2 linked regions of the Rattus norvegicus genome follow. The protein of the gene in region 1 purifies or fractionates together with the protein of each later gene. This does not show direct contact. Links are inferred from orthologs where the notes say so. Each region holds a gene or a part of one and is shown in the gene's direction. Other genes may lie near its edges. The genes, in order: Tbpl1 and Gtf2a1.

The links.
Region 2: the proteins of Tbpl1 (region 1) and Gtf2a1 purify together in Homo sapiens (affinity purification with mass spectrometry; 5 studies listed by BioGRID and IntAct, counting the BioPlex papers as one, with this or other methods). This does not show direct contact. The link is inferred for Rattus norvegicus from reciprocal best matches to the Homo sapiens genes TBPL1 and GTF2A1.

The regions. Positions count from the first base shown.
Region 1 is NC_086019.1:24,592,531-24,604,392, forward strand, and holds the start of Tbpl1 (TATA box-binding protein-like 1), read left to right. Parts: upstream 1-5,090; 5' UTR 5,091-5,177; coding exon of another isoform or gene 5,178-5,299; intron 5,300-6,930; exon of another isoform or gene 6,931-7,084; intron 7,085-11,862. UniProt on the Homo sapiens protein: Part of a specialized transcription system that mediates the transcription of most ribosomal proteins through the 5'-TCT-3' motif which is a core promoter element at these genes. Seems to also mediate the transcription of NF1. Does not bind the TATA box.
Region 2 is NC_086024.1:116,224,594-116,235,823, reverse strand, and holds part of Gtf2a1 (transcription initiation factor IIA subunit 1), read left to right. Parts: intron 1-530; coding exon 531-598; intron 599-2,624; coding exon 2,625-2,700; intron 2,701-3,954; coding exon 3,955-4,088; intron 4,089-4,338; coding exon 4,339-4,659; intron 4,660-8,364; coding exon 8,365-8,454; intron 8,455-11,230. UniProt on the Homo sapiens protein: TFIIA is a component of the transcription machinery of RNA polymerase II and plays an important role in transcriptional activation. TFIIA in a complex with TBP mediates transcriptional activity.

The DNA.
Region 1 (11,862 bases):
TGTGAGCCACCATGTGGTTGCTGGGATTTGAACTCAGGACCTCTGGAAGAGCAGTCAGTGCTCTTAACCACTGAGCCATCTCTCCAGCCCAGCTTTATCCCTTTTGATGTGTTGGACCAAACAAATTCTGTTTTAATTTGGTTAACTTGGAGACTTTGCTGCTGTCCCTGAGACCCATAGAGAGGGCTGTCAAAGTCACCTGCGCTGCAGAACATGGAGTCTAACAAGGCCTTCTATGCTATAGGAGCTCGTGGGGGAACACAATGTAAAAGAAAACTTTACTTCAGTATATGCAGCATTATCAACTAACAGAAACCCAACCTTGTGACACCAAGCACAGACAGCTAACTAACTGTAGGGGCTAGACTAGTCACCAAATAGGAATCAAATGAATATAGAGCCAAGAGGCCAAAGCAGTGGGTGTGCACATGTTTAATGCACTCTGGGGCGGGGACAGTGGGAAGGGCAGAGGCAGAGGCAGAGGCAGAGGCAGAGGCAGAGGCAGAGGCAGAGGCAGAGGCAGAGAGGCAGAGAGGCAGAGAGGCAGAGGCAGAGGCAGAGAGGCAGAGAGGCAGAGGCAGAGGCAGAGGCAGAGGCAGAGGCAGAGGCAGAGGCAGAGGCAGAGGCAGAGAGGCAGAGGCAGAGAGGCAGAGGCAGAGAGGCAGAGGCAGAGAGGCAGAGGCAGAGAGGCAGAGGCAGAGGCAGAGGCAGGTGAACCTCTGAGTTCAAGGCCACCCTCGTCTACACAGTGAATTCTAGGAAAGCCAGGCCTACACGGGTCTATCTAGTTGGCCAGCTCAGGCCAGAAACCTGCTTCTCTGTCTATTAGAGAAGTTCTTGCTGACTGATTGTTTGGCTGGGGACCAGAAGTGAGAAGTTCCTAAAGGATAGATGAACACTTTTCCAAGAGAAGAGTTCCATAAAATAAAAAATAAGATTCCAATAAACTAGTCAGATGCTCTATGGGTAAAATCACTTATGACCAAACCCAAGAACCTAGAGTCAATCCCAAGGGCCCACATGGTGGAAGAAGAGAACTCACTCATGAAAGGTGTCTTCTCAGTGCATACTGTGACAAGAAGGTGTGTGAGCACTCACGTGTGTGTGTGTGTGTGTGTGTGTGTGTGTGTGTGTGTGTGTGTGCGTACGTACTCACCATTGTAGTTCTGCTTAACATCAGTCAGCTACCCCACATACTACCACAAACATGCAATCCATCCTCGGTAGTCGAAAACCCAGTTACTAAATTTAAACTCCAAATTCAGGAATCTTTAGACTGTTGATTTCGCTCAGGTCTGATTGTGGCCAAACAGTGTAGGACTGTATGCTAAAGAAGAGGAAAACAGACAAGGAAAAGCAGCTTGTGGTGGTGATGAGCATCCACTGTGCTTGGCTAAACAGGAGGGAGTCAGGGCTGTCCCTCTACAGCACCCATGTTTCTCTTGTATCAGATTCTGCCCCAAAGGTACAGCAAGAAAGCAACCTAACTCATCTTTCTACCAGATCTGAAGCCTGCGGACATTGTCCTTGAAAACAGATCACCTTAGGAATCGTTTGCTCTACTGAGGACTTTCCAGAAATGCCGTAGTTCTTTCCTAGGCTGTCAGTTAATGTCATTTGAGGAACTCCATCAGCTTGTTGGGGAAGCTCACAGAGACAGGAATTTGAGTATGAACCTTCCCCTACCACTCTCTATCTCTTGGGAACCAGCCTAGCTACTGTTCAGTGACTCTTGTCATGAAGTCTGCCTGGGAGTAAGGGCTGGGGAGTAGACTGGGCTTATGAAGCTGTGTTATTAGCAGCATGCTATCTGCTAAGATGTTTACCGCTCAGCTGGCGTAATGGGAGGTCTGTCTATGGTAATGGGGCATATCAACACAGAGGAGGGCCCCTGAGGAATGGGGCAGCTCTCACATCAACAGTTCCCTGGTCTCTAACTTGGTGTGAGACAAAAAGCCTCGTTGCTTTAACTGGCATGGCAGATCCTCACCAGCACAGAAAAGCTAACCACTGGCAGAAATAACTATACTTAATGGTGTGACATGATTTCAATCCTATTTCCCATCTTTTGCAGGACTACAGGAGGCTAGAGGAGCCAGCACATTCCTGTAGCTTCATTTGAAGATCTAAGTTTCTTAGAGTCAGACTTACTGTGACAGTTGCTGTTGTCTTAAAATGCCGGTAGTAAAGGATACATTTTTGTAGATTTTTTTAAGTTACTAAAAAATACTGTGATATTAAATTATTAAAAATGCCAACCTGTCCGTTTAGATTTCAGTCTTATTTCATTGTTGACTGGAACAGCTTGTAATTATTGTAGCCTGTGTACTAATTACTCTTCTCAAGGCTGCAACAAAATTCCCAACCAAAGGAAGGAAAGAAGGGTTTATCTGGGCTGTTTATTATGGTGTGTAAGGGCACATCCTATGATGGTGGGGGGGTGTATGACAGGAACACAAGGCAGCAAGTCACATTAAATCCACAGTCAGGAAGCAGAGAAAGATGAACGCTAGTACCTAGCCACGTCTCTCCCTTCTGTTCAGCCAGGGTTCCCAGTGTATAGAATGGTGTCAACCCACATTTTCTGTCCCATCTCAGTTAACCCAATCTAGAAACTACCTCAAAGTTGTGCACAGATGTCTGCCTCCCAGGTGACTCTAATCCCCAGGAAGTTGACAGTCAATATTGCTGTCATGGTTTCTATGTTACATTTGCAGTTGCAGAACTTTTACCAATGAAGCTCGCTCATCTCTCTGGTCTAGCATGAATAGGGAGTCACTGTCCTTGACTGACCGGTTCTAAACGTCACCTTTGGTAAACCTCTCCAGAAAAAATAGTTACATTAAGATTCGTAACAGTAGCAAATCTAGTTATGCTGCAGCAATGAAAATAACTCTATGGTTGGGGGTCACCACACCATGAGGAACTGTTATTAAAAGGTCTCGGCATTAGGAAGGTTGAGAACTGCCCCGCCGTCTTACAGTTAAGACAACTGTAACTGCCTCTTTAAGTGTCAGTGCCACAGCGCTCATAGGATGCTTAGTTTACAGCAGGCTGCAGATGGCAACTTCACAACAGTCTTCTGCGCACGTACGAGCAGAGATGCTATTGTCCCACTTCTCTCACTAAAAGGGACTTCCTCCGTCAGAAGGACAATAAATGGGATAGTATGATAGTATGGAAGTATTCTGGTCATTAGTGGGAAAGGGCCATATAAGTTACTTTTGTCTGGGAGTCAGATCAAAGGGGAAGAAAGAGGGTTTCACGCACAGATGCCAGTCCATCATGGCCAGGAGTGCATGGTGCGAGAGTTCCCATCGCTCCTCCAGGAAGAAAAGTGAAAGCAGGGGCCAGGGCAAGAAATGTCAGCTAAAGACACACCCATGACCTACTTCTTCCCAGCAGGCCTCGCCTACCTTTCATTTCCATATAGTAATGCTGCCATACTGTGTAATGAATCTATTGCGAGCAATCCATCTGTCTCTGAAGGCGTCATCGCAGATACACTTACAAGTGTGCTCTATTAATCATCCAGGGCGAAGAATAATCCAATCAGGCTAACAATCAAGATCAGCACCACAGCAAATGGAACTTGCAGGCAAACTATATCCAATTAAGGCTCCTTGGCTATAACAAAAGGCAACCTGAAGTACAAGGCACTAGATGTTCCAGGTATCCTGCTGGGCTGCTTGAATGAAAGTATCACAAAGACCTTAGAATCAGTCGCCATTGTTGTAAAATTGCCTTCTAAGCAGGGACAGTGGCCCTTAAAAATAGAGCGTTTAGTGGTTATCGTTTTTCTTAGTAAACCATACCCCCGTTGCTCGCCAGCACGAACTCCCTAGCATTTGGAAGAGAATTCAAAGTCCCGTCTGCAAGGTGCAGATGGTTTGGGGTCTTACTTCCCCTCCAACTTCATCTTCTCACTTTCTATCTGTATTCACTTTGCCCTATTCCTATTGACACCCCGCCCTCCCCAGCGTAGCCAGACCTCAATATCCTCTTTCCTCTCAGTGCCATCCCTTCGAGATCTGTCGAAATCAGTCACCACAGGCATGACTTTCTCACCCAGCTTCTTGTTCGTTCTATCCCACACAATCACACCTATTTAATATTGCTCAAAAAATGAGAACTGAAGCAAATTTGTCCTACAGAGCTTTAAAACGTTCGAGTGCCGTGTGTGTGTGTGTGTGTGTGTGTGTGTGTGTGTGTGTGTGTGTGTGTGTGTGTGTACGCGCGTGTTTTCATACTTAACAGTAGGGAGAATAGGCATCCTTGGCTACCCCTCAAATACTTAAAATCCCCTACTAGTTGTGTACTCCCAAACCCTCAGTAGTCAGTCAGTCATTCTCAAAAAGCCAAGTGGAGTGGTCCCCGTCAAAGGCCAAACAGCTAAGGAACCCGGTTCACGTGGCCTTTAACCCGCTGGCTTCCCCCACCGTCCAGGGCGAGCCAGCAGGGGCAAGAGCGGGGTCGCGCGGCGACTCTCAGGCCGTTATGAGTCTCGCTCCGCAGGAAGCACGGCCCACGCCGTCCCGAGGGCTCACTCGGCCCGCACGGTGCGGCCGTTCAAACCGGCGAGTGTGCGTCGCCAGCGTCCGGCCAGCCTCACTGCTCCCGCCACGCCGGGCCCTCGCTGAGTAAGGCCGGGACCCCCGGGACCCCCTGGTCAGGACTAGGGCCCAGTGGCTGCTAGCTGAGCTTGTCTGTATAAACGATTGGGTGCTAGGCACAGTTCTGGTTTAAATGGAAATTAAAGCCCATTTGTGCTATGCTGCTCGCCAGCGATGAGCAGAAAACATGCACGGGGCTTCCAACCCTCCCTCGGTGAGCTGAGGGAAGCGCAGCCCGGGTAACCAGCGCCCTCTGGCCACTTCCGCCTCGCCCATCCCGCGGGCAGGAGGACTTTGCCAGCGGCTTCTGGAAGGAGGAAGGAGCTAGGGGGCCAGGGCTGCGAGGAGAGCAGCGAGAACCGGAAGTGAGTGGCTAGCGCGGATACCCGGAGTGCCCGGGTCCGGCGGCACTCTAGCTGCCTCGTCCCATCTCTATGCTCCCGAGCGTCTAGTCTATTTATTGTCGCGGGGGAAGCAGCGGCCGCCCTGTACCCGGAACAACAAAGCGAGAAACGGAGCTCGAGCCTTGGGGGGCTCCTAGCAACGGGCCGGGGCGGGAGTTCCATGGAGACTGGGGAGCGAACCCGTTTCATCTTCATCCTTGTCCTCCAGCTTCTTCTCCGCGTCCGACGCAACCAGCAGCAGCGCTGCCGCCGCGTCCTTTACGACCGCCCCGTCTTCCCACGGTAACCCCGTCGGCGGTCCGGGGAGGGGGACGCGGAACCCGCGGGGCCCGGAGCAGCCGCGGGGCGTCTGCGCGCCGGCTGGGCTGCGGGGAGCTGTGCGGGCGGGGACCTGAGCATGGGAGCGCCGCGGGCCACCGGCTAGTACAGAGGACAGGCCGAGCGGTTCGGGCATCCCAGTAGGGATAACGGGGTGGGGGTGGGGCGCGCCTGCCTGGCGGAGGAAGACGGACGGGCAGGGATGGACCGGGTCCTGGAGCACCTCCCCCCCAGGGGGAAAAGGGACCATGCCACTAAGCGAGGGGTCCGTGGCTTCTCGGGAAACTTGGAGCAGCTGCGCGAGGGCTCCCCCAAATAGCGGCGCCGTCGCCTGTCGTTTCTGGCACTTGCCGGGAGCCCCGCTCTATAATAATAGTAGTAGCCAAATTAAGCTTCGGGAAGAAGGATCTGGAACGCGGGAAGAAAGAAATGAATTGTGAATAGGGCTGAGCAGGGATGAGAATTGGGGGAGGAGGAGGCGATAATCGCTGCACAATCGCCTGGACGGGTTCTAGAAGTATATAAAATGGGAAATGACTGAAATAGAAAACACTCCTTTGCCGAGCTGTGCATCTGCAGGCCGTGCATCTGCAGGCTCTGCCAGTGTGCACATTGCACCGAGTGTCAAGCTGCAGCCAGTCCACATCTGTGAGCTTTACTGCATCTGTCACCTGCCGAGTGAGACTGGCAGTGACTAGTGTGAACTTGGCGTGCTTATGGTTAAGAAGAATGGCCTAGAACTGTGGCTTGTGTATGAAGCTCAGATTCCGTGAGGTCATTGAAAAAGGGGAATGGAAGGAGGGCATTCAGACTTTGGCCAGAATTCGCAGGCTCTTTCCAAGTTTGAGAAAATAGCAAGCAGTCCATTCAAATCAAGAGTGACTTTTAGCACTGTCTGGTTGAAAGAATTATTTAGGGTTTGATACGCCCAGTTAAATATTCATCAGTCTGTGTTCTTCAGACTTGCATCACAGACTACTTGGTAGACTGAGGCGGGAGAATGTGAGTCCAAGGCCTGCTTAGGTACATAATAGTAAGTTTCCTGCACTAGATGTCTGCCTCAGAAAACAAAACAAAACTGATTTTCCCATCGGTAGTAAAGTTCCTCTGTGGTCCGGAAAGGTTACATTCTACAGTAATAACATTTTTATGGTCAGTAGGACCAAGGCTCTTCATACAAAGTTGAAGATTAATGATGGAAACAGCATTGATAATTTTCTAGGCAATATGTTGACCACAGGTTCAGTTGCTAAGCCTGGCTTCTCCTAAGCCAAAGGATGTCGCTGTTACTGCCAGGCCTCTTGTATATTCTGTGCTCCCAAAATGAGTGCCAGGAACTGTAATGATCTAGAGCTGTGTGCTTTCTTGAAGAGGAGCCAGGCAGGGTACAGTTTTTAAGTCCTTGTTTTATTGTAAGCTTCTAACTGGGACTCTGGGGTCCAGTGTTGTTAGTTGAAGTACTTTCAGATTGACAAGGAGATCAGCAGCTTCCCTTTAAAAGGACTGGAGACTTGAACACTGAGATGAAAAAGTCAGTATTTCAGAAGCCAGGGTGAGACTTTTGCTTCTTATTTTTATTTTATTATTCTGTGAAGGCTACTTGGTGATCATCCACTGTGGGTTGTAGTGCCAGCCTTGGAACTTTCAGTGTGTATCCTAAGGAACTCCCTGCACATCAGCGTTTCCGTTAGACTTTCTTCACCTGGACTGTTTGCTGAGCCCTCTGTCTTCTGTGGTCCCTGAATGCTGGTCAGTTCTCTTGTCGAACTTTTATTAATCCTGTTTTGGCTTTCCGTGGTGTTGGCCCCAGGACTCCGTGTTCTCCTCAATTGTATCCTGATCAGAAATGCTTTTTATACTTTTATATGTTTTTCTGCTTCATAGGGAGTTTTCAGCACATGCCCTGGGCTTATGTATGTTTTTCATTAATGGTACTTTGTTGTATTTTCATATGAACCCTTTTTGTGGGTAAGAATTGGAGTGGACATGCCAGATGTTCTATATTTCAGAATAACTGCTAAGCTTCAAATTCATTCTGATGCAAAAGATTGTATTGAAATAAAACTGTGATAATATTTGAGCTCTTGATAACTGGGGTATTTAGAAGCCCATGCGGTACTACTGTTACTATAGACAGTCACTCTTTTTGAGGTTAAAAAGATATTACAGACCTGTTATGTGTTATAAACAGAACATAAGGTTTTTGTAATTCTTGGTCTAAAGCTGTTTTCAACACCTATCTTACCATTTTGCATCTGAATATTTGGCTAAAATTACATTTTGCGATTTTAAAGGAAGTGCAAAAGTGGTTTCCACACATTTTTCTTCAGGTGGAAAATAATCTGATAAAAAATGTTGTGGGTATATCTGTGAGAAGAGTGTGCAGAATTTGCTATAATGTACAACAGATCATGGGGCACAACCATTATTTTGAAATGTCATTTCTGATCAGAAATGTGACATTATTTAAAAGGTAGCAAATTCTGTATAGTGTAGTTGAGTAGACATGAGGACATTTAAACATTAAGTAAGTGACCCTAGGTGGTTGATTTCTTCCTGTTGCATCAACAACAATGTGATGAAATTATTACTATGAAAAATAAAGTTTAAATTGATTTTGGAAGCGTTTACAGTAGAAAGTTTTCACCATGTTTCCAAATTAAAGCTTTTAGTGTCAAGATTTTTAGCTGACATTTGAACTATAAAATTTTCCTGAAATTCCTGTCCATTGCACTTCACACCTTTTTTGACTGGTGCCACTTGAAGTGTGCTTTTTATGTATGGGTAGCTGACAGAGAAGTGACAGACATGGGTAACATGACATGACGGAGGTAAATTTAAGTGTCAGATACTGTATTACATATGTACTGGTACTGTAACTGTTGGTTGGTAGACATCATCATGCCTGCTTGATACAAGAAGCTTCTAGAAGGTCAGCACTGTGAATCATGGCCATATCGCGTGTTCATATCCTCGGTGTGTTTTGAAGACTGACTTGTTTACTATATGGAGATAGCATGTTGATTTTACTGATTTGGGGGCTTTCCTAGCAGATGAAACAGAGCCTATCTTGTGTGCCAGTGCCCAAGCCCTGAGAAAAGCCTTCTGACACCTAAGTCTTCCTGTGTCACATCTGTTCGTTACTCTCTGTGTAGTGGTGCACCTGTAGGCACCAGCAGGTCAGAGGCATGATTAGGGCTGTTTTAACGAATCCAAGCTATAGAAAGAAGGACTGACTGCTCCCACTTGAGCAGGAGACACAGGGACTGTGTGCATCTTAGGAGTACCACTGTGGAAGAGTTCTACAAGTTGAGACAGACCTGGGGTCTTCTAGGACACCTAGACAAATGTGATATTTTTTTATTATGATACATTCTGTCTTTTTTTTTTAGAAGGGATATAGAATATATGTTGTTTTTATAGTTGTGAAAAAGCAAGATTCTAGAAGTATGTCATCAATGGCAAATAGTCAGACCACGTAGGAAATTCTGCTTACCTGTTCTTAACTGTGACTAAATGCTAACACAGAAGATAATTTATCTTGAATGGTTGGATTTATGAAAGGAAATATGTTACCAGGAATCTTATTAAATGTTTAATCTTTACGTCAAAGTAACTTCTTGGGCAGTTTAGATTTCTCTTCACACGGAGTCACCAAAACTTTAAAATATTACCCCCTCCCATACAGTACAAACGTTTGGCTATCGTTTATTTTGACCTTAGAGTATTTACTCATTAGAAAGTGCTGAGGTCTAGGGAGAGAGCTCATTGGGACAAGTACTTGGCATGCAAATGTGAGGGCCTGAGTTCAGATCCCCAGAATCCACATGAAGTCAGAGGAGGTGGGTGGTGTGTCTATAATCCTTGTGATCCTGTGACTAGAAGGGGTGCAAAGACTGGAGTCCCCCCAAAGCCTGTGGGCTAGCTAGCCTGTCAGAAGCAGCACTGAATCAAGAGAGCCTGTCTTACATAAGGTAGAGAGAGGGTGGGGACCTGTATGTGAGGTTGTCCCTGATCCCTGTGCTGTAGCCTTTGCACATCCATACTTAGGCGCATTTGTGTGCACACACAAGATTAGAGGAAGAAAGGGAGAAATTAGATGGTGTGCTACAGACAGCATTTTGTCATGACTTGTGAGTACTAATGGTGCCTAGCAAGAAAGACAACTTCGTATATAGATTGGCCTGGATGAAGGCTAGTTTACTAAGTGAAATACTAGTTTCAAAAGAATCAACCTTCCTTCTACAAACTTTGAAGCTCTTACTTGTAAGCAGTAACTTGATGAGGATTGGTTACATTTTTGGTATTAGAGTGGGTATATTAAAGGTATGAACTGTTGCCTACTTAGCAGCCACCTGTGTTGAGCATCAGGGGTCTGCTTTTGTTAATGGTGTGGCATCACTGTCTGCAATGTAGAGTTAATATCTGAGCTTAAAGGGTCATGTGAGGCCGAGAGAGTGAGCAGGTGCTCTGAGCACTGGTCCTCTGCGGTTGCGTGCTCATCAGATCTCTCCTTTCTCTTGTTCCCAGACTTGCTGTTACATTATTGACGTTCCTTTTGATCCCAGCCTATTAGACTCATCTGTGCTATTAGGTTTTAGTGTAGGGGAGTACTTTGAAAATGTCTAATTGTCACAGGAGCATCTGGTTATCACTTACAGCAGATGGGCTAAGTAAAGCCAGACATGTACATTTCTTAGAGAAGGGAAACCAACAAAGCCTGGTCTGGCTCCTGGTCACAGCTATTGAAAGGCTGCTTCCCTCCCTGTGGGCCTGACGGCGTCCCTGCCTGTGTAGTCTTCTGAGTGGAAGAAACAGGCCCCGTTGACTCATTTGGCAGGACTGGCCTGACTAGAAAGCATTGTTACTTGTATACCTTAATTGACGATACACTTGAAATTTGTTAGTACCCGGATCAGTCATTTGAGTTTTCCATGCCACTACAGCTGTAAGATTAATGTATCCTTTAGAGTTACAGAAGGAGCTAACGCTGTTGCTGTGACAGTGATTACCAAAGGGCTTTTGAATGGAAAACTTAATTTTTTAATGATGGTAAGGCTCAAACCAAATATTGAAACTATCTAACCTAGGAAGTAATTTGATAATTACAGTTGACTATCAAGATAGCTAATTTAAAGTTAAGTCAAATTGAACACTTGAAACTACTAAAATGCTACTACTACTACTACTACTACTACTACTACTAATAATAATAATAATAATAATAATAATAATTTTGCTGAGCCTGATGGAGCATGTCTATAATTCCAGTACCCAGAAAGCTGAGGCAGGAGGATCACTGTGAGTTCTAATCCAGCCAGAACAAGACCCTGTATCAAAAAGAAAGTTTTGCTTAAAGTGGATTTCAAACTATTGTCTTCTTTGTTGTCTAATGTCTAAATCCTGTTTTCTTATTGAAATAATAATTTTATAAAATATACACTATCCCATCATTCATAGTGTATTTAACTCAGTGGAAGTTACTGCCTGAAATGTGTCAGGCCCAGGTCTCTACCCCGCACGTCCCCCAACACACACATACCACAAAGCAAGGTGTGCTCCTCATATATAGAGGTGATAAAGTTCCTTAGCTCCCTTTCCCAAGTTTGTGTTGCATTTTACACCTGAGATTAGCAAGATGCTTGTATTCAGAGATAAGACTTTGTTTTTGTTTTCCTAATTAAAGAAAGTGAAGCCTGGCGGATCCTGCTGATTTAGGTGAGCAAGTAGATTCGTCAGAATCCATCTTATAATGATTACATTTTCTTAACCCTTTTGTCATGGCCACATTGATCCCAGATCTTAAGACAACAGAACAGAGACAGATGTGAGGAGAAATGACTGTAGTTTTTCTGCTCTCCAACCCAAGTGTATGCTTATAGCTCCTTTAACGTCAGATACTCTGAAGACTGTTGGAATAGGTTTAAGAAAGCAGGTCCTGAGCCTCATGTGCATGGTGGCTCACAGCTTTAATCTCAGTGTGGTGGAGGCAGAGGCAGGTGGATCTCTTGAGTTTGAGGCCAGCCACACTTACATAGTAAGCACCCGGCTAGCCAGGGCTACATGTGGTTCCATTCAAAAAGAAAGGTGGCGTGAGAGACGGACCTGAGGGCAGTATGTTAGTACTGCCCTTTACAATAAAGTTTACCTGCTGGGAGAAGGGTTTCCCTGGTATTTTTTTCCACCTTACTATTTGAGGGCAGATGTTGCTGTACAGATGGGAAGGTATGAAGCTAATCTAATCTCTAATCCAGGGTGCAGATAGGAAGATGGGTAAGGTTAGTCAGAGCTTCTGATAACTCAAAGTGAACTCGAAGCCTTTGTGGGAAAAGGCTCACCCCGTCCCTTTGTCAGACACTTTTCTGGAGCTACAGAGCTGTTGTCACTCGCTTGCTTATGACTGCTGTACATCCTGCATCCCCTCACCGTTAGCTTCAGACAGCCTGGGGGAAGTAGTCCTAAGCAGCCTTTAATCGATCATGGCCTGGCCACATCCCAGGATCTTCACTTAGGGAGGTCATGGAAGC
Region 2 (11,230 bases), on another chromosome or scaffold:
ACAACAGTGGTATTAGGGTGCTCATGCTATTATGGCTTTTATGTGTGTTCTGGAGATTCAAAGCAGGTCCTCCTGCTTGTATAGCAAGCATTTTTACCCACTGACTTGTATTTTTCAAATAGTTAATTAAAATGCCTTGACTGTGGTAGCAGTCAGGTTGCTAGAAAAGGTTGTAGGGTTTTCGTTTGTTTTTAGAACACTGCTTTACTATGTCGACCTGGCTGGCCTTGAACTCAGAGTTCTATCTGCCTCTGTTTCCTGAGTGCTGGTGTTAAAGGCATGCACTGCAATGCTGGCTAAGGTATTGTCATTTTATTAATATTTTTCAATATAAAATAAATGTATTCTAGCTGTTGATTTCCATAGAAAATTTTTTAAAAGTCTAAAATAGCAAATACTTTGAGAGTATTTTCAAGTAGGAAATGTAACAAAATCATGAAAAAGGTTTTGACATTTTATAACATTCCTGCAGCTCTGTACCCTTGTTTGTAAATGGACCTTTTATTCTTTTTTTTCTTCTATTTTTGTAGCTACAGCACCACAAGTTATTGTTCCTGATTCTAAGTTGATACAACATATGAATGCATCAAGTATTACGGTGAGACTTGAACATGGCACTTTCATCGGCTTTATTTATTTCATCTAAAATGACAGTTATTTCTTTGGGTATAATTTAACAACTTGAGGTTTATGGAAGATTTCAGCAAAATAGCTGTTAATGACAAATCTAAAGTGTAGTTTAATCTTAGACATTAAGGTTTGTAAAATAATGTAATTTTCTTCTTAAGAAAATACCAAGATACTCTTTGTGGGGGTTAGTTCATAGCTGTAAGGAGCCAGCCAAGCTTGTACATCTGCAGATCTCTGTTTGAGGCCAGCCTGGTCTGAACCCTGTCTCAGAAAAACAAAACAGTACAAAACATAAAAGGAAGTAGCTTCCTTGAAAGCTTCAGTAGCTGACAACATACTCAAATGTACATGGTTAGCACGAGATTTAATGGTTCAAAAAGAAACAAGGTCCAAGCTGGGGTTAGTGGGTAGAAAAGAAGGGGTGCAAGAAGGGGTACATCTGGGAAGAGTTGGGGTAGGGGTGGCATGATTAAGATGTATAGCATATATTTCTCAAATAACTAGTAATTTTTTAAAAAAAGAAATAGCTATCTTGAATAGTCCAAAACAGTTAATTTTCAATGTTTATAAACCTAGCATTCCTGTACTTACGTTTAGCTGACCTCCTGACACAGAAGTGCCAGTGTCGGTATATGTTTGAGAAGTAAATGATCTCAACCACCTTTTGCTCCTGAACTGCACAAAAGTCATTTTTATTGCTTTCGTTAGTTTCTCTAAAGCATATACACTTATTTTCTTAAACTCAAGGTAAATGTTGGTCTCCTAAAATTTTATAAATTAAAAAAATAGTTAATGGTTGTATGTTTTAAGGAATATCTAAACGTAATGGAATAAAAGCTACCTAAATGAAGTTACAGTGAGATGCATAACAATGTTTAAAAGTACAAAATTAAGCTAACAGAATGATAGAAACCTTTTGGGGCAAGCAAGAAGAATATAAGAATTCTTTGGAAGAACTAAATGGAGTCCACTAGAGCTGTCATAGGGCACTGTGTAATCCCTTCTCTCAGGAAGCAAAGATAGGAGGATTACCAGTTAAGCCAGCCTAGACTAGAGTAGGGCCCCATCTTAAAGAAAAAAAAAAAGACCAATAGTGTTGGTACACACTTCTGATCCCTGTACTTGGGAGGCACAGGCTTCAAGTTGAAGACCAAGTTGTCTGGGCAGTGAATTCCAGACAAGAGAGGATTACATGCAAGATTTACTTTAAGAAAAAAGGGAAAAAGAGTTCGCGCGCGCACGCGCGTGCGTGCGCTCTCTCTCTCTCTCTCTCTCTCTCTCTCTCTCTCTCTCTCTCTCTGTGTATACACAAGTATTTCTTAATTTAGGAAAAATATCTGGAGTTGAATAATTCTGGCTTCGGTGTTTGGGCTAAGAAATGCTTAACCTATTGCATATAGTATCTGGGTTACTGTGTCAATGTGCTCCTGTTCCTTTTAGAGAATATGGTGTCTTAGAATTGCCAGTTACAGAAACCAAAGAATTCTGAGGTAATATTGTGTGGAGACCTGTTGATTCTGGTAGTAATGTAGAAAACCAGGAAACAAGGATGATTTGATTTTGGTCTTCAGTGATGTGTATAAAATTGTGTGTAAGCAACTAAAAAATGGTTCCCAGTACACGGTCCAGCAATAATGGAATGGTGGTCTGATATGGTACAACATGGCTCTTAGAGCATATATTTCTAAAAGCATACGGGTTAGACTCAGACTGTGAGAGCTTGAATCAGGAATAAAAAAACGCTTCCGTATAAGGTTACTTAGAATAAATTCTCTAAGGGAACTAAACAATTGGACCGTCCTTTCTTGAAGTACTTCAGTATGTTATTTAGGCTGTGCTGTCTGTTTTGTGCCACATTGAACTTAATCTTGTTGCTAGAATGCTATCATAATAAACTCCTTCCTGTACTGCTGTGCTGGCACTGCCAGGAAACTAAGATTTTGTTGCGTGCACATGCAAATATGACTTTCTTCCTTTGTTTTTTATTATTCCAGAGTGCTGCTGCTACAGCTGCTACCTTGGCGCTCCCTGCAGGCGTGACTCCTGTTCAGCAGATACTAACAAATTCAGGTAACTAGAAACGGGGGGCAGCTTTAAATGTTGTTCAGAAGTTAGCATCAAGGAACTCTAATGGTTATTGTCACTGAAGAAGGAGGACAATACTGACACTTGTTTGAGCTTTTGTTTAGATTGTTTAAATGATTTAAGTGTTATAAAATAGAGAGCTGTAATCTTTCTTGAGGCTACAGTTGAGAAAATGGAAGTTATAGCCGGGTTTGGTAGCATATAATCCCAGCAGTTTGGAGTTGGAGGCAGGGGGTCAGAAGTTCAATCTCAGTCTACTTTTATAGAAAGTGTGAGACTAGCAGAGACACTGCTTTAAGAAGAAAAGGGGATAGAGCTTTTGTTCTTGGATGGAACCCTGCTGAAGAGGCATGATTATGTAGAAATGGTTATGTACTGGGATTTTACTAAGCATCTGTCTTGCCAAATGACTTAAGTGAGATATTGTGATGACCAAGTTGAACATTTCACAGGCCTGAATAGCTAATACCTGTCATTTTATTTTTGTTAATTTCTAAATTTGAGGAACCAGTTAGGGCTTTGTCTTGCTGCATGTTTTTGCTCACTCTTAAGGATTCTGTTATATCTAAAGGAACATACACGAGAGTATTGTATATATTATGTTATTTGGTCATAATTTCGGCATTCTAATTGACTCACAGCAAATTTTCATTGCATATTGAAAATTTTAAGCAAACCTTGTGCTTTGGTTTAAGATATAAATGAGATATTATACCTTTGTGCCTTTAAAGTTTAATAACAACCATTGAAATATCTGATCCTATTTACTGCATTTCCTTGACTGCTACCATATGACGAAAAGTAATTAAGGCTATCAGAAAGTATTATTTATTTATATATATATATATGTAAATATATTTTTTCCAGTTTTAAATTCTGTATATATGGGTATTTTGCCTGCTTGTATGTGTGTGCACCACATGCTTGCAGTTCCTTGGAATACCAAAAGAGACCATTGGATTCCCTAGGACTGGAGTTAGAAATACTGTGACTTCCCATTTGAGTGGTGGGAGTGAAACCCTAGACCTCTGGACTAGCAGCCAGTGTAACCGCTGAGCAATTTGGATATAGAAGAAAACTGGGAACAGTAATAGAGTGTAAGGCGTATAGTTGATAGTCCTCTGTAAAATGCTTACTCTTCTAACTTGGTAGGTTCTTTGGCTTGAAAGCAATATAAATTTCTTTGTGTTTTAATTGCTGCTTAACTAGTAACTTGGACTATATTCTTTTTTGCCATAGGCCAGCTGCTTCAGGTAGTCAGAGCAGCCAATGGTGCCCAATATATCTTTCAGCCTCAGCAGTCAGTTGTTCTACAACAACAAGTTATACCACAAATGCAGCCTGGTGGAGTACAAGCGCCTGTTATCCAGCAGGTAATGCAGTTTTACCTACCATCCCCTTGATATTCATTTTCTTTGGCTTCTGCCTCTGCTGTATGACTTTGTGTGCTTCCCCGCTCTTTTCCTGGACAGGTTAATAGGTGTACAGCAGTCAAGAACAACCTTATTCTGAGTTAAGATGATATGCCTTCAAGCACATTTCTCATGTTTAAATTATTATTAGTTTGATTTTGATTTTGGATCCCTGTAACCAGTTTGTAATAGGTGGTTTTGTTTGCCCTAGGTCCTAGCCCCACTTCCTGGAGGGATTTCACCACAGACCGGTGTCATCATCCAGCCACAGCAAATCTTATTTACAGGGAATAAGACTCAGGTCATTCCTACGACAGTGGCAGCGCCCACACCAGCACAAGCACAGATCCCTGCAGCTGGACAGCAGCAGCCACAGGCCCAGCCTGCTCAGCAGCAGGCTCCATTGGTGCTGCAAGTTGACGGAACAGGGGACACATCTTCTGAGGAAGATGAAGACGAAGAAGAAGACTATGATGATGATGAAGAGGAAGATAAAGAGAAAGATGGAGCCGAAGATGGGCAGGTGGAAGAAGTAAGTTTCTACAAAAGCCTTGAAAAGAAAAGGCGCTCACCATTCACTATTGTATTTGGTGCTAAGCAGACAAATTATACACTATTTTTTCAGAGGGAGAGAGAGGTGGGTGCTTGCACTGTTGATTGTACTATAATTCGATTATCCGTTTTTGGATCTATTGATTATTTTGGTGGCTTGTGTTCTGGAGCTCCTGCATTTCTCTTTATGGACATGAACTTGCCAACCTAACTGTATGAGTCTATCTTGCCATTTTGTCTGTAATTCGTAAACATCAGTGTGTTATCACTTCATGATAGAGCAGACTGTTAAAAATTTTCCAGTCTGAAAACCAGTCTCTCGGTTTGGTTTTAGTTTGAACTTCTGTGAGTACTTAGAAGCTTCAGTTGCTTCCGTGTGTTTACTGTTATTTATTTTTTACTATGTTGAAATGGCAGGTAGCATTATTTCCAACCGTTTCCCACAGTTTTAGTCCTTCCTTAAGTGACATTTACATGGTATTTCTTCAGATTGCTTGTGTAATAGACATGTATAGAATTTTTAAAACTCATCGTTGAGCCAGCCTGATGTGTTTATAATAATGTGTTTGTTGACGCTTTTGTTTTTTATATAGAAGTTTTTTTTATAATGGTCTATTGTTTGTTATTGTTGTTGTCATCGTGGTTTTTTTCATTTCCTTGTACATGTCTTTTGGGGCTAAGTGAGTTGATTGCTTTTGTAATTAACCAAGTACTTTGCTTTTTTTTTTAATTACTAGGAAATGTATTTTATTATTAAATGCCTTTCTGCAACTCTTAGTCACAGTATCACATTTATAGCCTGCTATTTATGAATTTTATTGAGTGGTCCTACTTTGTAAACCAGTATTGAGTTTTCATTATGGCACAGCTTGGTCATTATGTATTATCCTCTCTAACTGCCGGACCCACATGGACAGAAGTTTTAGATCAGTGTTTATGAATGCGTTTGTAATTTCTTTTCTCTCAATCTTCTCACCAGTTCTCATGTTGATAGTATCCTTATGAAAGAATTTGTAATTTTTTTAGAAACATGACATAATCTCTTCTGTGATTTTTTTTTTTTTTTTTTTTTTTTTTTTGGGTTCTTTTTTTCGGAGCTGGGGACCGAACCCAGGGCCTTGCGCTTCCTAGGCAAGTGCTCTACCACTGAGCTAAATTTTTTTTTTTTTTAATTGTTTTAAAGACAGGGTCTCATTAAGTAGCCCTGGCTGGCCTGGAGCTCAGTGCCTCCTATGTTCTAGAATCAAAGGTGTGTCCCACTGTCTGTGCCTGGCTAAATTGGGGCGGGGTGGGATGTGTTTTGCTTTTTGTTTTTGTTGTTTGTTTTTTTGAGGCAGGTTCTTTTTTTTTTTTTTTTTTTTTTTTTTTGGTTCTTTTTTTTTTCCGGAGCTGGGGACCGAACCCAGGGCCTTGTGCTTCCTAGGTAAGCGCTCTACCACTGAGCTAAATCCCCAGCCCCTTGAGGCAGGTTCTTACTATATAGCACTGGCTGTCCTAGAACTGGGTATGTAGATCTTCCTGTCTCTGCCTCCCGGGTGATGGGGTTAAAGGCTTGTGACAACCATGGATAGCATCTGGGTATTTGCTTCTTGTTGTTGTATTTACCATTGAACGACCTATCCCTCAGCTCAAGAGCATCTATGAAAGTTTCAGTCTTACAACTGTAAGCAATTCAGTTCTGCCAGCCCACCTGAATGAGCTTGGAAAAGACTCAAAGGTTTAGGTGACAATATGGTATCTTGTGATGCCATAAATTTTAACCTATGTGAGACTGAATAGGGAAATTTTCTATATTATGCTATGCTTATACTTTTGAGCCTCAGGAACTATAATAACAGATGTGGTTTTCTTTTCTTAAGCATTTTTAGTCATTAGGGAAATGGAAATCTAAACCACAATTGGGAGGTCGTCATACCTACTAGGAAAACTATCATTAAAAAAAATTATGTGTCTGGTGGTTTTGTCTGCATGTATTTCCATGTATCATGTGTATTCATTGCCTATAGAGGCAGAAGACAGGGTGTCAGATCCCTGGGATTAAAGTTAGAAATCGTTGTGAGCTGCCATGTGGGTGCTGGAATTGAACCCAGGCTCTCTGGAAAAGCAGCTAGTACTCTTAATTGCTCAGCCATTTCTCCAACCCACACTGCTGTATTTCTTTTTAAAAAGAAAGTTTATTGATGATGATGAGGATTAGGAAAAATCGGAACCCTTGTGTATTTCCAGTGTGAATAAGAACCAAAACAGCTTTCACAGAAAACAGGGCTTTGAACACAGAATTAAGCAGAGTTAGCCATGTGCTGCTAAGTTTCACTTGCAAATGAACATAGGAAAGAATTGAAAACAGGAGTTCAGACAAAACCATGTACATGAGTGCTTACAGCAATACTCTTGTCACTTTCCAAACAATACAGACATCCTGAATGTCTGTCAATAACTAGTGAATGGCAAAGAAAAAGTGGCCTATCCAGACAACAGGACAGCATTTGACCGGACTGTAAGGAAGCATGAAGTGCTGTGCGTGCTGCTACATGAGCATACACGAACACCCAAGCACAGCACAGACACCCACAAATTGTATTGCTTTATTTATGTATACAGAACAGGCACATTTATGAAGTCATAACGCGGATTGGTGGTTGCCAGGACACAAGAGGGAATAGAGAGTGATTGCTTATGTAAAGGTTAGTGGAGTGCTCTGGAGCTGTGGAGACAGGAAGTGTATGTTCTAAATGGTTTTATCGTTTTTTTCCCTAACATAGACATTTCTGTTCAAAGAGTATATTTGTCACACACCCCTATGTATGAGTGGCATACACCAAGGCTTTAATATCCTCAATTATTTTCCTTTCTACCTCTGTTTTGTCTTGTCTTTCCCCTCGTCATTTAAATCTGAGTTAAAGCTTCTGTCTTACACCACAAATGAAGTTTAACCTTATTTTATCAAACCCTTCTTTGGTTTTACTTTTGCCTCTGAGGCGGTTCATCCTCTACGTTTAAGAGTAATTTAAATCTTAATGATTTTTTTCCACCATGTCATCATGTTGATAAACAGTACTGATTGGCTTTTAGAATCTTAGTTTTTAGTACAGCCCTGAGGCCACACTTTGTTTTCTTCTTCAATGCCATTTTTTTTCCTTTTAAACTGTTGCTGGTACATAATACTATGACCTCATGAGGCCGTCATATCTTCTCAGGTTTATTCCTAGGCTTATGAAACAGGGAAATTTGTCTTGAGTACTTATTAACGAGTAAAGAACAATTTAAAAATGATGTGCATGATCGATTTTGCCTACATGTGTGTTTGTTTACTGTATGAGTGCCTGGTACCCAGGGAGGTCTGAAGAGGGCATCTGAGATTGGAGTTAGAAATGGTTGTGAGCTGCCATTGTGAGTGCTGGGCGTTGAACCCAGGTCTTCTATGGGAGCAGACAATGCTTTTTAATGAGTTCCAAAGGAAATAAATGTTAACCTTTTGAGTCTTGTGAGTTCCCTAGCTTAACTTTCCTTAATTTCTTGCTGAAGTAACATGAGCAGACCTTAAGCGTTGACAGCTCTGCATTCAGTGTGTCCAGATACACACCTGACGTCCTCAGAACATCCCAGCTACAGGAGCTCTCAGTAAGAGTTACAGGAAACTTTATAGCAAGCGGTGCATGAGATCTGTGTCTCCTTTTGTTTGCAGGAGCCCCTCAACAGCGAAGATGATGTAAGTGATGAGGAAGGGCAGGAACTCTTTGACACAGAAAATGTTGTTGTATGCCAGTATGATAAGGTAAGGACTTCACATTCGGTCGTGAACGTTGTTTTTATTGTAGTCTCTCTAAACCATCTTTTCAGCCTCACTGAAACATTTAGGCAGAAGATGACTGCCTGTATTTCTGTTTTTCTTTTACTCCTGAGACCAGGTTTTATTTAACAACTCAGGATGGCCAGGAACTCCCATGTGTAGCGAGCTAGCTAGTCTAGGATGACTTTGTATTCAACTGTACTCCTGCTTCAATCTGGGCTTATAGGCACATGCTGCCTACCACGTCTGGCTTCCTGACTTGTTATAGCCAGTGTGAAGGGACGCATTGTGACTGCTTCACGGTTGTTTGAGTAGAATGAGTAGAACTTGACTCCTTAACATTGCCTTGAAGAAAGTAATGGTAAGATGGTGAGAGATGATCATTTTCATATTCATCCACCTTGTAACAGCCCCCCTGCCTTCCAGGGACAGAACTAAGGTAATAATTTTTTCTTTCCTAAACTTCAGCTCTCTTGAGTCTGAAAAGACCTTATTGATGAGTTTTATGAGCTTTCTTAAAATTTTACGGATTTTGCTGTTCAAGGAAGTTTTAAACCAAACTATTTGGGAATTGATCATTGAGTTTTGTAGGCCCCCTTAGTTTATAAGGTTTTGGTTTTTTGGTTTTTTTCTTCCCTCCACTTTTAAGTGTATGATATGAGTGCTTTGCTTGCATGTGTGTATGTCTGTGCACCATGTTTGTGCCTAGTGCCTGCCTGCAAAGGCGAATGGAGGTTGCTCAGATGCCCTGGAGCTGGAGTTACAGGGCAGTTGTGAGCTACCATGCATGCTGGGAACCTAGCCTTGGTCGTGTGGAAGAGCAGCCAGTGCTCTTTATGGCCTGGTATTGCAGTTGATTTAGTTTTCTGTAGTTATTTGTTAATAGCTGTCAGTGCAGCGGTTCCCAGCCTTTCTAATGCTGTGACCCCTTAATACAGTTCCTCATGTGTGGTGACCCCAGTACCCCACCACCACTAATTTATTTTTGTTATGCTTCATAACTGCAACTTTGCTATTGTCATGAGTCTTAATGAAACATGTTTTGTTTTTTAAACTATGGTCTCAGTTTGTGTGCCAGGCTGGCTTTAGCAGCAACTCTCCTGCCTCAGCCTTTCATGGGAACGACTATATTCAACTTTTTTTTTTTTTTTTTTTTTTAAAAGAGGGTCACATCTTTGGCTGGTGACAGAAGTGGCCTTAGAGATTCTTCTAGAGCCAGTGCCTTCGATCTACATTTTTTGTTCTGGAAAAGTAAAAGGCCAAGGAGAACTTCTAGGCCACACTAGACCTTCAGCCAAGGTCTGAAACATCTGTTTTCTAATGGTCTTAGGCTATCCTGTGGAAAGGTTGGTCAGCCTCCAAGGGTTGAGAACTGCAGTGTTAGTGTTCTTCTTGGGATTTTTATAGTTATGTCATTAATCAATAAGTGCTTATCAGTCATGAAATTGATTGTAAATTCACATATTATTGATTCTTTTTGTACCCATGTGATTCTTTTCTTAAACAAATGTTTAATGAGTAGCAGTCAGTACTAAGTACTCAGTGAGTAGGATTTGGTTATGAACATGTAGTATTTGTACCCTGCATGAAATTCCTTCAGATTAAAGAGATCTTACTTTTTTGTTGTTACAGTGAGTATAAGTAGCTATGCCTAGTCAAACAGGTCTTTAGGGGGACTGCCAATACAGTGTATCGTCTTAATTAGAAAAAGGGTAAAATCAGGTCTGTTATATGATTGATCTGTTTTTGTGCATTGTGACTTCAGATGAATGCTTTTAATAACCTGTGTCACAAACTCTACAGCAGACGGTATTTTTTGTCAGCTGCATAAAGAGTATGAGGTTAAAACAGCAACTAGTCTGAAGAGACCTACTTGCAGCCAAGTACCCAAACATAGTTTCATAATGGCAGGTTACAGACAAGAGCTTGACTGAAGACTATTCCTCAAAGTGCTTTCTTATTTTAAGAAGATAGTGTATTCTCCTTTGTTGAGCTGTATTCAGGTTTTACGTGTTAATTAAAGTTGGTTTGTCTGGCTCTCAGATGCATTCATATTTTAAACTAATAAAATGTGAGTAGGTTTATATAGCCTCGTGAAAGACAGTTTTAGAGTTTTCAGAATTCTATTTGAAGAATTAGAAAGACCGAAAGAATAGAATGTGCTTCAGCAAGTTATAAATGGTGAGGAAGCCTGAGTTTTTTTAAAATGAGGAATGAATGTGGCTTGAGGCAATTTGGGTTTTTAGTAGTTTTGTTTTGAAGTCTAAGCTTTGTATTTCAACTGTGAGTCAATTTAAAGAAAAGAACAGAAGGAATAATGAAGTTGTTGCCTGACAAGTAAGTCGTGGCTTAGTTTAAATGCTAACATAATAACAAGTTTCGGGTAATTGAAGAACTGTTGGGCATTGGTGAAAACAGTATAGTGTGAGGCTTCACCATTGTTAGAAGATAATTTTACTTGAAGGGCTTAGGCTAATAAAGGAATGCTTTTAAATTTGTACTTTGTACTCCTTTACAAATACAAATATTACTCAATATGAGTTCAACTTTGAGTTTCTGGACTTCCCTCCGAATGTGAGTCTCTGTTCTACCTTTATTCTAACATTAGTCTCTGTTCTGTTTTAATGAGGGAAGTTTGAGCCTAGAGCAAGAACACTCAGTGATTTCCAAATGCACAAAACAATGTTTACATCAAAAACAGTGAGTGCTAGGGTCAGTAAGTGAAAGTGCGAGGACATAGGTTTCAGGGCAGGTAAAGTCT